Drosophila melanogaster: one gene and its partners. The protein of the gene in region 3 interacts with the protein of the main gene of each other region in a pairwise test. Each region holds a gene or a part of one and is shown on either strand. Other genes may lie near its edges. The genes, in order: Cpr66Cb, AhcyL1 and vlc.

Region 1 (4,237 bases), on a different chromosome or scaffold from region 3:
TCCCCCGAGTTTTTCGGTTTGTCATGTCTCGCAATGTTGTCAAACGTTGTCGACCATAATATAGCAATTAAAATTGTGCTCGTATTTAAGAGTACATCAACCCGATGACACTCGTTTCGTTTTGACCAGATTGAATCCACGGATCCATGGATCCATGGCTGATCTGCCAAAAAAGAGCTTGTGAATCGGGGCTATGCAAAGTGGTTGGCTGAAAAACTGCACGAAATTCCCATACAAATCCAAGTAATTTCTTGAGTTATTGGCAAACAACTTGCCGATGAACTAGATTACAGAGATGGATGAAATGAGTTGAACGAGTGCATGATGGGCAGGAATTTGGAGTTAAATAGGGGAAAACATGTTGAGGATTTTCCTTAAAGTTGTGGGAAAATAATGAGGACTGGATTGACACAAATTAATGCTTTTTATAACGAAAAGTGTGCATAAGTTTTTTTTTTTCGTTTTGTTAGTGAATATATTTAAGTTACAACAAACTGGAATTATATTGTTGCTGAGAAACAAAACACCTGAATGCATTTGACAAAACGATTGCCTCAACCTTCGAGGTGAGAACCTTAGAGTCACTAAATTCCACGCTTCGCTGCCTAATTAGCGCCAACCAATTGCAAATTGACGAAAGACCCAAAAAATAGCTAGCATTGGTTAATTTTTCTTTAACGCAATTGTGGCACTTAACTTTGAATTAAAGTACGTGGCAGCCAAAGTGTGTGTGTGAGGCCCACAAGCACACACACACACACAAAAGAGCTGCGAACAAAACTTCTGTTTTGTGTGAAACAATTAAATATTACAAAATTGGCTTTTATTGGTACAGCCTGGAGACCCAATTCAAATCTAATGCTATTTACCAGTTACGAATTTACGAAAATCAGCGCATTAAAAGTGAACGATTAACCGGAGGCTAGCCGCAATAGAAGGTTGCCCCAAAAATGTTGCCCAGCAGCAGCCACGAAAATCATCAAGCCGAAATTTGGGTCAAACTGCGTTTAATGAGCCCACTTGCACGGCAACAATGCAGACCTGCAATGCAAATAGGCTGCCAAGCCGAGTTGGCCAAAGCGAAAATACCAAAATATTAACAAACTTGGGCTCGCTGGGGTGGGAGAGATGGATTGGGGGGATGGGGTTTTGTTGCAATGTTGCAACTGCCGATCAGCCACATTGATGACGACTTATCAACGCCATCGCATGCGTCACTAATGGCACACAAAGAGTCCTGGACGACAAGCACTTATCGAAAATGTTGCAATATAATGTTGCTAGATATAAAATAATCTATAAAAATAAGAGGAAAATATTTAAAAATGTAATATTTGTCATAAATGTAGAGAACTTTATTACCTTTGTATGGCATATTGTCTTCCATTGTGGGCAATTATAAAATTTTAGAACCACATTTTCTTGTTTCTATTCTCATGTAATCATTGTTGATTTTCGATATTTTTCCTGAGTTGTGCCGACTTTTTATTCTAAGTGCATTGGGGCTGCAAACATCAAACCCCAAACAATGGCAAACAACAACCACAAGTGAACTGTTTTACATTCGGTTCAAGAGACGCTCCGCTCACCGAAGACAGCAAAGTCGCTGCTGCAAACCACCGCTGCTTGAATCCACCGAGCCACCGAACCACCGCTGCCAGCCGATTCACTTTCTTCCTAACCATATAAAAGCGGCGCATTTTGGTTGCAACCACATTATTCAGTGGTGAAAAGTCGTTGCGTGCAGTCAACCAGTGATCTCCAAATAAATCGCGAGCTAAAACTCAAACTAAAATGGCATTCAAGGTGAGCAGCAGCAGCCAAGGATAAAGGATAACGATTGTGAACAACAAACTATACAGCAAAAAAATATCCTAAAGGATACAGCAAAACGATCTGAGGATCGAGTGATATTTAAGAAACCAAGTGATTTGGTGGTGAACGAAGTGGAAAAGGTGTTCCAAATCTCCAGCAATCATTAAAAGGATATTCATATTAAAAATGTGATTTTTAATTTCAATATGCAATGATTTTTAATGGAAACAAATTTTATTAAACATCGGAACAATAGGATACTGTACTATTTACTATACTAAAGAAAAATTATAAATGTAGAGAATGACAGACTAGGAGCTCAAAGAAAGGCGCTTTTAGTAAAATATTCGTCAGGACCACTAAATTTCAGTTTAAAAATCATCCTGACAAAATTTCACTAAATCAATTTAGCTATTTTGTGCTAATTAAAAAACCAATTTAAAGACAACCTCAAAAACCACAGTTCAAACAAAAGCACCTATTAAAGTAAATCGTTTTAGGATTTAGGAAAAAACTCACACTTTTGCTTTAGTTAAATAAACCTCCCGCTTAGTTAACCAACAAATTTGCAGTCAGCCAGTAAACCACAAAGTAACCACTAAAAGTATATCCAAACAAAAGCGTCAGTCGACCACAGCAAACACTTGATTATGAATTCATTAAGACCAGCAAGAGGAAAAAGTCCGAAATTGCAAAGCAGCCATAACATGGATAGCTACTGTCTGTGGCCAGCAAGTCCTCCAACGCTAATTGCAGCACTTGCAACTACACACACTCCGTCAACGGAAACAATTAGTTGCTAATTATGCACCCACCTATCTGATCTTGCAGTATCTGATCTTCGCCTCGGCTCTGTGCCTGAGCCTCGCCTATCCGTTGGAGCACCAGTACTACGAGGAGAGCCATGGATATGAGCACCTGGCCCATCACGAACCGGAGCCCATCCATGAGTATGGCCACCATCAAATCGAACGCATCTCACTGGGCGAGGAGCACGGTCACCTCGAACACGCTGAGCCCCACTACGAGACCCACGAGTCTCACGGACATGATGAACATGTGGATTACTATGTGAGTATTGTTTCTGAAATTCAAAATTACACTATAAACTATAATCAAAGAGATGATGATGATGAAATGTTGTTTCTTAACAGGCTCCTCCCAAATATGCTTTCAAGTACGGCGTGAATGACTTCCACACCGGAGATGTGAAGTCGCAGCACGAGACCCGCGATGGTGACACCGTCAAGGGACAGTACTCCCTGGTGGAGCCCGATGGTTCCATCCGCACCGTGGACTACACCGCCGACAAGCACAATGGATTCAACGCCGTGGTCCACAAGACCGCTCCAGTGCATCATCATGAGGAGCTGCACGAACACCACTACTAAGCTAGTACACACTGCGCACTAGAGTTAGCCAAATTGCTCATCAGCCGGAAGTGGGAGGAGGATTATGAGGACTAGGAGGAGGGACAAGCATATCCACATCGGTCGACCATGGAATCAGCTTCATATCTCGTAATTAGGACATCAGCACACACCCAGGCCAAGGATCACATCCTGTCCATGGCCATTTCATTAACATTTTGTATATTGTATTTTATTCTGTGATAGCGAATAACTTCTATGTGTATCTTCCGCTTTCAACTGATCCTTAGTCACTACCTGCTCAGACGAATTTACCGATCACTACTCGACTGTTTGCCTTAATCTTTAATCTATAATCTATAATCTGTAAACTGTAATGTATACTTATGTCTTCTCGTAAAACAGAGATCGAACGAAGAAATTGTAAATTGTGTAATAAAGTGTGAATTATGTACTTTTTATAAAATCAAAACTCACCCGACCACTGGCCATAATTTTTTCAGCCGGGGCCAATCATTGAACTTGCACTCCTCAAACAAATGACCAAATGTCTCAGCTGACCAACTGGTTTATGCGTTTCCAGACGTAAACGGCAATGGGCAAGATTTCCACAAATTACCAGACATCGTTAGACACATTTTCCGGATCCCAAACGAGTTCTTCAGTTCATTGTGGTTTCTTGTATTTGTTTTCATTGAAATTGCATAAGCCTTAATTGAAATGTTGACGGAAAATGCTTCCTAAATGGTTAAAAGACTTGGAGTTTCTTCGAAATGTCGATGTAATTGATATATAAGCTGATTTCAATTAGCAATAAATAAAAAATCAAACCGCATTGCTAGTATGGCTAGTTTAAATTTGGCGGGGTTTGTCGATATAGTTTACCAGCACTGTTTAAAAATGTCGATAATGACTAGTAAACTTTCTTTACAATTGCCATCTCTAATTGATAAGAAAGGGCAGAGTACATATAAATAAGAAATATATCAATGGTCAGCTAACCAAAGGCAAGAATATAAACAAAATAATGGAGAAAAACAAATATGTACCAC
Region 2 (6,364 bases), on a different chromosome or scaffold from region 3:
TGTGCAATGCGGGGGAGCGTTCGCAGGGGGCATTTGAAAATAAAATGATTTATTATTATGAGCCGATTTCTGGTGAGTAATTTGTCATTTAACCTTAGAATCCAGTCTGAATATTTCAAATATACATTGATTTCCTTTTAAATCTGCTTGATTTAAGTAGTCATTTTAAATTAACTTTATTTACTTTAATTTGGCGTAAATAATTTTAATTTAGTTATTAAAACAACACATAATTATCATCGGAGATTTATGCAAACTCCAAACAACCTGTTGCTACCCTGCAACAAAGTCATGCTTTGACCAGTGTTGAAAAACGCAGCTCCACAGCTGTTTTGCCAAGTTCTTAATTATATTTTTGTTTGCTTATTTTGCGCTTTTGTTTTTCTTTTGCTTGCAATTATTATGTTTATTTGGCATTACTTGACCCTCTTGTGCCTTGGGTTCGCCCTCATCGATGCGAAATCCATCAAGAAGTCGCAGGCCAATCTGTTGGAGCCAACTCTTGATCCTGATGAGAAGCTAGGGAAGATTGGGAAGTCCCCACCCGACATTTCCAATGATGTGCAACGTGTGCAGGTTCCATTAGGTGCGACGCCCGGCAAGAATGGCTGGCAGGGCAAGTGGTTTCCCCATGCCCCTGGACAACAGCAGGAAGCGATTGAATTAAAAATGAAGAGCACCACGGAGGAAGTTCCTCCGCTGGAGTTCACAACCAAGGATGGCTGGCAGGGCAAGTGGTTTCCACAAGCTCCCGGAGAGCCGCACTTGGTGAAGAAAAAACCGCTGGTCGATAACAAAACCAAGTCGGGGAAGTCCACCACACAGGATACTTGGCAGGGTAAATTGTTTCCGCAGGGTCCCAATGAATCGCACAAGACTAAACAAAGCAGCTGTGATGATGGCAAGGTGAGTTTGGCAATATAACTAATACTTCCCCTAAATACCGATGAATGCTTAGTATTAGTCATCTTTTTCTATCATTGTTATTAACAATTTTCAGAGCAATCTTGCCGTGGACTTCGATCCAAACGACATCCGTGACAGCCTGAATTTCCTATGCATCAGTAGTAATCACAGCTTGTACCAACCGGATTTGTCCAGAGAAGCCATTCTTACGGAGCACTTTCTACCTAGCGCCTATCTGCCGCCTGCCAAGTGCCTTAATGAGTCCATTAGCTACTCCCATCTGCCTGCCACCAAGTAAGGCGAACAATATTATAGTTTCCTGCTAATTTCAAATTCAAATCTGTATTATCAGTGGCCCCTATCGCCCGATGCCCGCTGAATATGGCACCTATTCCTACTTGCCTCCTCAGCGATACGTGCGTAATCTGGCGGAAGGTGCCATCGTAATGCTCTACCATCCCTGCGCTTTTCCCGGCCAAGTGAAGCAGCTGCAAGACATCGTGGGTGGCTGTCTGTATCGCCATCTGGTGTCACCCTCGCTGGCTCTGAGTCCGCAGCGACCGCTGGCCCTGCTCGCCTGGAGTCGCAGCCTCGAGATGTCCGTCGTGGATCGACAACTGGCGGCGGACTTCATCCAGAAACACGCCAAGCAAGGACCACTTGCACCGGAGGAATTGTCGCGTTTGATTGTCAAGAGACAGACCTACAAGGAGGGCCTTCTTAGGGAAGCGCACTTGGTCAACACGGCGGACGACTACGAGCTGTGCGGCTACCTACAGGAGGATATGTAGGCCAAATGTGTTAACTATTTGTTTTTAATAAACCTCGAATACTTTGCCAATTTCTTTTTGACTCATTAAATTATCCAGCTACCAGATTTAAAAGACTTGCAGCTGAGGAGTTGTAAATCACACTTTATTTACTTTGCTCATTAAAAAATAAACACATAATTAATGGTAAGAAATTATAAAAATTAATTTTTAGACGATTTCAGTTAAAAAGTCGTTACTTTGGCCTTTCTTCAGTGGGAACTTACCACACTTGCAGAATAGCACTAACGCCTTCTGCTTTTGGTATTTTCGCGTGTCTCGCTTACTGTCCTCGGTTCGGTTTAGTTCTCTTTTCTCCGGATAAAATCAAATTCAATAAGCGATCGCCAAACGATCCCCCACTTGGTCGCCACACAAACAACGTCGCCCGAAAGCCGACGGCTGCATCATCATCCCCTCTCCGGAAACTCCCATCAAGCCCCGGATCCAAAGTGTAGCCCCCCATTCGCAAAAGAAGAAGAAGAACAAAAACAATAGTGGAGAGGTGAAACAAAGGAGACTCGCACTAAAAACAATTAATTTAGCAATTTGTGGTCTCCACAACGTCGATAAATCACGTGATTGTGCAGTTCGTATAGACCCAGGCCACACCACTAGCCATTTGCAGCGCATCCTGCTTGGATTTCAGACTTTACATAACATCCAAGGCGCCCATTCAAAGGAGCAGCGGAAAAGGATTGCAAGCTCTGGAGTCGCAGAAGGTGGAACACTAGGAGCTAGAGCAAGGAGCCAATTTAAGGGATAGTAAGGAAATCCCCAGATTACCCTCTACTTCCACCATGAACAACCTGGCAGACACTGTGGTAGTTGATCCTGGATTCGGAGGCGGCGACAAGCAGCAGCAGGCTGGACCGGCGCCGCAGGATGCCAGCGTGGTGGTTCCTCCGCCGGCCACCAAGCAGTCCTCGGCTCTGAAGAAGACAAGTCGGTACAGGAGCCGCTCGCTTAGTGCCTCCTCAACGGATTCCTTCAGCTCCGCCAGCTACACGGGCAGCAGCGAGGATGGCGACGACGTGCCGCCCAGGGAGAAGGTCCAAAAGAACTCCAAAGGCAGCTCCGATTTCTGTGTAAGGAACATAGGCGCCCAGCATGCATTTGGGCGCAGGGAGATCGAGATTGCGGAGCAGGAGATGCCGGGCATCATAGCGCTGAAGAAGCGGGCGGCCGAGGACAAGCCTCTGAAGGATGCCAAGATCGTGGGTTGCACACACATCAACGCCCAGACTGCCGTGCTCATCGAGACGCTGGTGGAACTGGGCGCCAGCGTGCGCTGGGCCGCCTGCAACATCTACTCCACGCAGGTGAGATGTCGTATGAAAATGTCATAGGGTTCTTACGTATTCATAGGCTGCTTAATGCATTTAATGGAATCTCTTAAGAGATATCTTAACTCATTTTCCTATATTTATTTAAATTCATATGCATATGCGTGCTCGGTCACTTGATCTGCTCGGTCGCTTGGAGACAATTGTTGTCACGCCAGGCGACGCAAACAAATGATCAATCAAGCCATGTTAATCAATTAAGCGCCCGCGGCTCAAGTGTTTGGCAATCGCTGAGTAATTGATGTGCCCTGAATTGGGTCGCCATACCATTGGGAGTGGAAGTTACGGACGCAGTTTTAGTTCCAGCATTGGATCGGCTGCGGTTACTCGATCTGTTTGCCTATTCCTGCGGCGTGGCTGATGCAATTATCACGAGTCTGCTGACGCTAAACAATTTATGGCTTCTCTAATGAAGCGATGCGAGTGCGAGGGCGAGCGCCCTTCCCCGATCATTTATGCACCCATCCGTGCCAGCTTTTATCGCCCACGGCCCCCGACAGCCTGTCACGCTGATTCACCTGTATCGGCTGGGACTTATCAGCCAAGCTACGAGTGCCGTGCTTAGCGAGAATGGAGCCCGATGCGTTATCAGCTCGATATAAGTCAGATATTAGCAAATGTTTACGCCGCATTAGGGTGACTCGATTTATCAGGCCAACTCTCGAGGGTTTTACCTGTTTGACAATCATTTTATTAGCCTTCAAGGACTGTCATTATTAAAACAACTCAATATCGTTGCTTATTATTTTTAGAACGAAGTGGCTGCTGCTTTGGCCGAATCCGGAATCCCGATCTTTGCCTGGCGCGGCGAGACGGAAGAGGACTTCTGGTGGTGCATAGATCGCTGCGTTAACGCCGAGAACTGGCAGCCAAACATGATCCTGGACGATGGCGGCGATGCCACGCACTTGATGCTAAAAAAGTACCCGACCATGTTCAAGTTGGTCAAGGGAATCGTCGAGGAGAGCGTCACCGGAGTGCACCGTCTCTATCAGCTCTCTAAGGCCGGCAAGCTGACAGTGCCGGCGATGAATGTCAACGATTCGGTGACAAAGACCAAATTTGACAACCTCTACAGCTGCAAGGAATCCATCCTGGACAGCCTCAAGCGCTCCACGGACGTGATGTTCGGTGGCAAGCAGGTCGTGGTCTGTGGCTACGGCGATGTGGGCAAGGGATGTGCTCAGGCTCTAAAGGGGCAGGTAAATGGCACCCACAACCATTAGTATGATATACCTTTGTCACCTTTTCAATCTCCAATCGTAGGGCTGCATTGTGTACATCACAGAGATCGATCCCATTTGCGCCCTGCAGGCCAGTATGGATGGCTTCCGTGTGGTCAAGCTGAACGAGGTGATCCGCAACGTAGACATTGTGGTGACGGCGACCGGCAACAAGAACGTGGTGGTGCGCGAGCACATGGACAAGATGAAGAGTGGCTGCATCGTATGCAACATGGGCCACTCGAACACGGAAATCGATGTGAATGGCCTGCGCACACCGGACTTGACCTGGGAGAAGGTGCGCTCCCAGGTGGATCACATTATCTGGCCGGAGGGCAAGTACATCATTCTTCTGGCCGAGGGCAGGCTGGTCAATCTGAGCTGCTCCAGCATCCCCTCGTTCGCCGTGTCTATCACCTCGGCCACCCAGGCCCTGGCCCTGATCGAGCTTTTCAATGCCCCGCCCGGACGCTACAAGTCGGATGTCTACTTGCTGCCCAAGAAGATGGACGAGTATGTTGCCAGCCTGCACCTGCCCACCTTCGATGCCCATTTGACGGAGCTGAGCGACGAGCAGGCCAAGTACATGGGACTGAACAAGGCCGGTCCTTTCAAGCCCAACTACTACCGCTACTAGGACGCAAGGCGGGCGGATGCGGACAATAACACCAGCAATTAGAAGAAACAACAACGCCAACGAAAGTATTGTCTTTGCGAAGAAGTAAAACTATTTAAAACAATTGTTGACACACACACACACGGAAAACACAAAAGGATACGGAAAGGAGAACACAAAGTTACTATTACCATTGTATTGCTTAGTTTAGCTCGAGCGGAATTCTTGGTTGCTTTTCGTTAGCATTTAAAGTCTTCGACATAGTATTTAGCACTCGCTTTAGCCGCAGGAGTATTCTCTCCGTTCACCTATCCAACATGACTCTCTAATCCCCAAAACTAATCTTGCCCCAAGAATTTATCCCCATCAACATTTTTTGTAGCCAGTTACTTGAATTTATTTTAAATACTTCGAACGCCTGTCAATCAGACTGCAGTAGCTCAAAAGACGCGATTAGTTCTCTAAATGTATACTTCTAATTCGGAATTGATAATATATTTAATGGGAATTGACTTGTATAATGGTTTCTAGCATATTTGCATTACATTTCTATAACTTTTTCGCGTGAAATCCATGTACATTTTAATGTTAACGACTTTCCTGACTAATCCCTTTTTTGAGCTACGACAGCTGGGCAATAAGTGATCGATTTAACCTCTCGTATTGTTTACGTACTTAATTTGTTAATGTTTATGGCCCCCGCTTATGATTATGATTATACTTTTGTACTTTCGTTTCGTCCCGAGAGCGTTAATGGAACAGCAGTGCAAGGTATTCCATTTATTCAATTATATACACGCTGGCATATATATCAGATCGAGAATTATATATATATATACACTGCATATACACCTAATATGTATATTAGAAAAAGTGAAAAATGTTTGTAAGAAATTTGTGAGAAACGCAAAACAATAAAAAAGGGATTCTTTATTGAGCAATTAGATCTGTTCCACTGATTGATTTCTCCCCCAGCAGCCCCGTCGAAATGAAAACCAGGAAAAGTTGCTTTCGTATTTTTCAGATGCATCACTCGTCTATTTCTCTTTTTATTACTCGGTACTTGCCTTAAACTTGTTATGTTTTTCTTTGATATTTTATAAAATGTAAACTACACGAGTTTGTCATAAAAAAAATCATACACATTATGTATTATAATCGATTTTTTTTTTGTAATTTTCCGTTCATCTGAACTATTCCTAAAATGCCGTAAAGTGCATAATGTGCAAACCCGTCCTAATTAGGGTAATGCTAAACACATGCGTCAACTAAATCTTAATCAAAGGTTGTGGAACAAACAAATCCAGGCGGAGCCGAAAGTTACAGGGGATTGGTAAACCAGGCTGGCGGAGAGGCATACACATATATTTGCATCTGGAGAGGATCGGAGGGCGGATCTGATCTAATCGAGAAAGTGCGGCTTGAGATGCTTCAGCATGCCAAAGGTGCGGAAGCGGCGGATCT
Region 3 (5,521 bases):
CGTGGGAAAGTATATAACAGGCAGAAGATAGCGTTTCCGACCCTATAATGTATAATGTAATGTAATATATATATATTCTTGATCAGGTTCAATAGCCGAATCGAACTAGCCATGCCTATATGAACGCCTCGACCCAGAGCCGGTTTGTTGACCCATTTTGACACGCTTGCTCTAACGCATACAAATGTCTGGATATTTTTGTATTAGTCTTGAAAGTTTGTATCGATTTGCAAAAAATATACTTTTTGCCACGCCCATCGAACGCCAAAAACGGCCACGCCAATACTATTGAAAAATGTTTTATATTTTGTTCATAATTTTTCTTAGTTTTGTAAATATCTATCGATTTGCCAAGAAACTTTTTTTATAATTTTTAAAATTTTTATTAGTCATGTAATTTTTGTTCGATATGCCAAAAAATATTTGGTAGCCCACAAATCGCACAAAAGTGTCACGCCCAAAATTTTAAATTTTATAAGTCTTGTAAATTTCTCTCGATTTGCAAAAAACACTTTCTGCCACTCCCACATTCTTGATAATTGTTTGGATATTTCTTCATACTTTTATTAGTCCTGCTTAGTCTATCGATTTGCTTAAATACTGTTTGCCACGCAAACTCTAACGCCGCAAAACCGCCCAAAACTGCGACGACCACATTTTTGAAAAACTTTTGGATATTTTTTCGTAACTATTAGTCATGTAACTTTTTATCGATTTCCCAAAAACTTTTTGGCACGTCCACTCTAACGCCCATAGCCTCCCAAAACTGCCACGCCCACAAAAAAAGTTTAGATTTTTCTTCGTTTTATTTTTTGTTTTTTCATTTTTTATTTATATACCAAAAAACTGGCCACGCCATCTTTTCGCCTACGAAACGCGCAAAACGGTCACGCCCACACTTTTAAACAATTTTAAAATCAGGTATAAGCAGGTATAAATACTTATCAAATATAAAAGAGTTCTTTATTTAATTTAAAGGATGGCCAAAAGAGTTGATTTTAAATAATGTTATTTAATATATTTACGCAAATGGTCAAAGAGAACTAGTAATTCGGAAGAACCGCAATTAAGACTGTGAAAAAGATTGCAGCGCTATCGTCTGGAAAACAGCTAAATCAGTTGTTTACTGTTGAATGTAAATAACAATTTCTGCCTTCTCGTGGCTTCAAAAAAATAAATTGCAAATTTAAATCCTTTTTTTTAACGAAATCCAAAAATTTTGCCTAAATCGAATTCGAAAAAAATATTACGTATGCCGAATGCATGTCCGATATTTGTCACATCATGATCACGAACAACAAATTTACATTTTCTTCATCTTATTTTTTCCATGGATATAATATCGGACCGGCTCGGTTTGGCTTACATGAAAGCTTGATGCAAATTGCTTTAAAATTGCGATTAATAAGCATTGAAACGAACTGACGGACTGTCTTGTCAAAGCATATAGATAGTTTTCAAGCACCCCTGTGTTACATTTTCACAGTTTCACTTTTAACAGAATCTTATCGCCGTTACCTTAACACTTGTCCTAAAAATACCATGCACTATTTAATCTTAAAATGCGAAGCGGTCGGCGAAATGGCGTTTTTAATGTCCAGGTCATGGCAACACAACCGCTGTTCACCGATCAGTTTTTATTGGTTTTCAGGAATAAGTAAATTGGATTATTGAAGGCTTCACTTGGCACGTATTAGCTTGGATTTCTATACGCTCAAGCTGCGCAGTCTTCACGTTGTGTTATGAGACCAAAATAGATCGAAGTGCGTGTGTGTGTTATTACCCAAAGGAGTTGTGTTCTTTAAACTTCGAACGCCACCGACATCATCATGTTTTTCATCTCACCGAATTATAAATAGTTGTGTGTCGTTTGTTGGTGCCATAATGAATTCTACACGGGGCCATGGGAGGGAAAAAGTACGGGAACTGGGCGAAGCATCAAAGAAAAGCCAGCAAAGCGGAACTTTCAAAGTGCCGTTAAAGCTGTTCCCATCTGCTAAGCTTACACTTACACATTCACAGGCTTAACTTAGAAGGCGTAGTGCGCTGCTTATATTATTGAATTTGACTGGTGTTTCAAAATATATGGATCTGATTGGAGAGATAGAGGAGATCTGAATCATTATGTTTTGGGTTCCGAATAAGATAAATAAAAATTACCTGTCAGGCTCTTTCGATTCTCTGAATGCTCAATTTCCACATTAAAACCAAGTCAGACGTGGGCGTTATCAGTTTATTCGTGTTTATTCCTTTTGGAGGTCAACCACTAACGGCTAATTACGGTTAAGAATTGTAAATTGCATGAATAACTAAGCCCAATGCTTTTTATACAACAGGCTCAGTTTTCATGGATCGCAGTCTGGACTCTATTGGCAGCTGTTCACTGGATGTAGACGCCGACTCCTCCGATATATCAGGTAAATATTTATATGGATATTTATGTGGATATACATATAACCAACTTCAATCGCCTTGCAACCCATCTGTGGATTACATCGGGTTGATTTCCCCGAATTGCAGATACCAGTGGGAGCCTGAACTTTCCAACGCCGGTCTCAGTAAGGGACATAACACGCGAATTTACTGCCAACCTTCGGGAGCGCTGTGTGCCTAACTTGCCTCCCCAGCCTCAGCACAAAACCCCTGCCTACGTTGAATCCAGGTCGTCAGAGCTGGAGCACATGGTGCTGTCACCTGCAATTGTGGAGTGCGACCAAGAGCCGAGCTCCAATGATTTTGACGAGACTTCTGCAGAAAATTCACAAGAAGCTCCCGAAAAGAAGCCCAGCTATTTAAACCTGGCTTGCTGCGTCAACGGTTATTCCAACCTTACCACCTACGACTCCAAGATTCGGCAGGACATAAACAAGTCACGTGAGGTTTCCCCGATTCGTCCCTCCACCAGCAGTCTACAGTACTGCAAACGCAACCACTTTCTAGCGACACCAACTCTGCACAGCATGCCTTCTCCGGCCACCAAGTGCAAACCCATCGAGCCTAACAACAACAGCAACGACAGTAGCGGGAATTTTAGTTCGGGTTCTGGTCACAGCAATGGAAATGGCAGTTTTATCAAGCAACGGGTGGAGCGACTTTACGGGCCGGGTGCATTAGCCCAGGGTTTCTACAGCCCCAAAAAGCACGGCCAGTCACCATCGAATGCTGCAGGGCGATCGGAAAGGGGGCAGGTGGAGATCGACTCTCTACAAGGCTCCGAACTGGCTCGGAAATTCAAGCAGCTCTCCCCCAGTAAAGACTATGGGGAGTTTCGAAAAAAAATGCAGAAGAAGTGTTCTCAGAGTACAACGGCGAGGATAGACGAGCCGTTGCATTCTCCAGGGCTTAACGGAGATCTTGACCTGCCCGTGTTTAGGCACCTTAGTCAAGAGTTCCGCGCCCAGTTGCCTACTGTGTCACCAAAAAGGGGTGCTCCTCGATCTTGCATGGCTCCTGATGTACTGCTTGTAGATAACGAGTCAAGTCCAGACCATGGTCCCACAGATGAAGTAGACCACGAATCCACAAAAATGGACAAACTAGCCTCAGAGGAATACATCAGCACTTCCAATATTTCTGTTGAAGCTGTTGTTAAGGATGGAAATTTCTTTCTGAAAATACTAAAAGAGGAACAAAGCCGTCTCTTGGTGCTAGCCGCTCTTGCTGAAAAATATGCAGACGCCTTGTCTGTAAGTGATCTAAATAGTGATTAAAATCTCAATTGTTTTTATTATTATTTTCGACACTGAACTCTACAGACAAATCCAGATATCTCCGAAGATACCTTTGGGCTACTGCGATCAGCGTCGGGTAAGGCCCGTCTCTTGGTATCGCAGAAAATGAAACAATTCGAGGGTACGCGTATTGCAAAGCATTAAATCACTTGTTACTAACATTAATATTTTAGGTCTTTGCCACAATAATCTGAATCGCTCACCAGAGGATAAGTTTCCAACAACTCTGGATGATTTACAAGGATTCTGGGATATGGTTTATTTGCAGGTGGAGCACGTGGATTCTATTTTTGCTGATATAGAGAAACTCAAAAGTAACGACTGGAAGGTAAAAGCACAGTCCGTCGCTGACCAACCCGATTTGCACACCATACCAACTAAGACAATAAAGCCGTCAAAAGTCGGTGTTTCGCAAGTGAAAACAGTCGGAAAGGCATCCAGCGTTCGTGTGAATGGCTCGGCACCTCCCCCACCTAACTCGGCAGCAGCTTTAAAGAGGGAGGCCCAGAGAAAACTGCTTCTAGAGATGAAACGTCAGCGTCGCGAGGCTATGACCGCAGCGGCCAAATTGAATCCCATAAATGTTGATGCCGACCCGGACGTGCCGGGAATAATTGGCGATAGTTGTGCTAATCCTAGCGTTAGCAACGGAAGTTAAATAATGCTCACTGCGAATAGCAACTCATGCTTTCTATTTATACATATATTTTTAACTAACACACGTGTACCCCACAAAGGCATACTTAAATTTATAGATATTTCTAGTTGAATTAATCATTTACTAGTCCCAACTAAAATTATTGTGTTGGAGCTCCTCACTGAAATCTGTCACAAGGCGTCAAATATCTAGGAGATAACGAAGTATTGTCACCAATTGCGACTTACCTAAAGTTGTTCATAAATATTGCCTTATCCGCGAAAGATTTCGCTAATTAATCAATTTGCTGTGCACATTATGTAATTGAAAATTAAAATTACTTGATTACATATAAAAAAGACATTTATTCACGTTTTACATTATTTAAGTATTTTAAAAACCAACAAAATTTTTGTATAACATAATTTGATGTTTTATAATTATTTTTGAGAAATTTAACTTATACAACTCTTGGAATATCATTTCTATTAATAGGCAAAATATTTTTATACAACTGCAAATAAAAATAACTCACACATTTAAATTAAAAAAAAGTTAATGCTATACTTTTCCCTAGCAAATCACTGTGGTCGGCAATCGGCGTAGTGACGAAGCACAGGGGGACGTGTGAAGGCGAAGAACTTAAAATCGCTAACTAACTGAAAGGTAATCCAAAATCTAATAGGATCGCATACCAAACGTTGATAGGAAAAAGAGAGGTGAAAGTATAAATCATTGCTAAATTATTCTGAAGTCGTTGAAAAGTATGCAACAGGCAGACGGAAGCGTTTCCGACCATATAATCAAATATATAAATATATATTTTTGATCAGGATTAATAGCCAAGTCGATCTGGCCAAGTAGAGTGATTGATTTCCTAAAAAATATATATTATAGGGAAAAGTAAACTTTTCCGACCCTAAAAAGTATATATATTCGCTATTAGCATCAATAACCGAGTCGATCTGGCCATTTCCATCCATCTATCCGAACGTACATATGAATGAATGTCAAGATATCGAAAACTATGAGAGCTAATTCAATGGGATTGGACATGAGACTCTGCTTAAGGTGGTTTCAAAGCGCTGCCACGCCCACTTTAACGCTCATCAACTATACCGGTCTTTCTTTTAGACTTTTGAACTTAAACAAT

The links.
Region 1: the proteins of vlc (region 3) and Cpr66Cb interact in a two-hybrid assay, tested with the Drosophila melanogaster proteins (one large-scale study listed by BioGRID).
Region 2: the proteins of vlc (region 3) and AhcyL1 interact in a two-hybrid assay, tested with the Drosophila melanogaster proteins (one large-scale study listed by BioGRID).

What each region holds. Positions count from the first base shown.
Region 1 is NT_037436.4:8,334,943-8,339,179, forward strand, and holds Cpr66Cb (cuticular protein 66Cb), read left to right. Parts: upstream 1-1,729; 5' UTR 1,730-1,794; coding exon 1,795-1,806; intron 1,807-2,646; coding exon 2,647-2,886; intron 2,887-2,969; coding exon 2,970-3,206; 3' UTR 3,207-3,653; downstream 3,654-4,237. Other genes in the region: Pex2 (peroxin 2), read left to right, coding at 4,213-4,237.
Region 2 is NT_037436.4:2,767,941-2,774,304, reverse strand, and holds AhcyL1 (adenosylhomocysteinase like 1), read left to right. Parts: upstream 1-1,979; 5' UTR 1,980-2,515; coding exon 2,516-3,037; intron 3,038-3,813; coding exon 3,814-4,263; intron 4,264-4,327; coding exon 4,328-4,921; 3' UTR 4,922-5,839; downstream 5,840-6,364. Other genes in the region: CG12093 (uncharacterized protein), read left to right, coding at 403-906, 1,001-1,200, 1,259-1,697; Non2 (putative nucleolar protein 2), read right to left, coding at 6,303-6,364. UniProt on the Drosophila melanogaster protein: Might play a role in the regulation of methionine metabolism possibly by binding and inactivating Ahcy.
Region 3 is NT_033778.4:5,700,531-5,706,051, forward strand, and holds vlc (vulcan), read left to right. Parts: upstream 1-1,581; 5' UTR 1,582-1,657; exon of another isoform or gene 1,658-1,858; intron 1,859-2,144; exon of another isoform or gene 2,145-2,336; 5' UTR 2,337-2,347; coding exon 2,348-2,417; intron 2,418-2,520; coding exon 2,521-3,686; intron 3,687-3,755; coding exon 3,756-3,852; intron 3,853-3,904; coding exon 3,905-4,389; 3' UTR 4,390-4,909; downstream 4,910-5,521.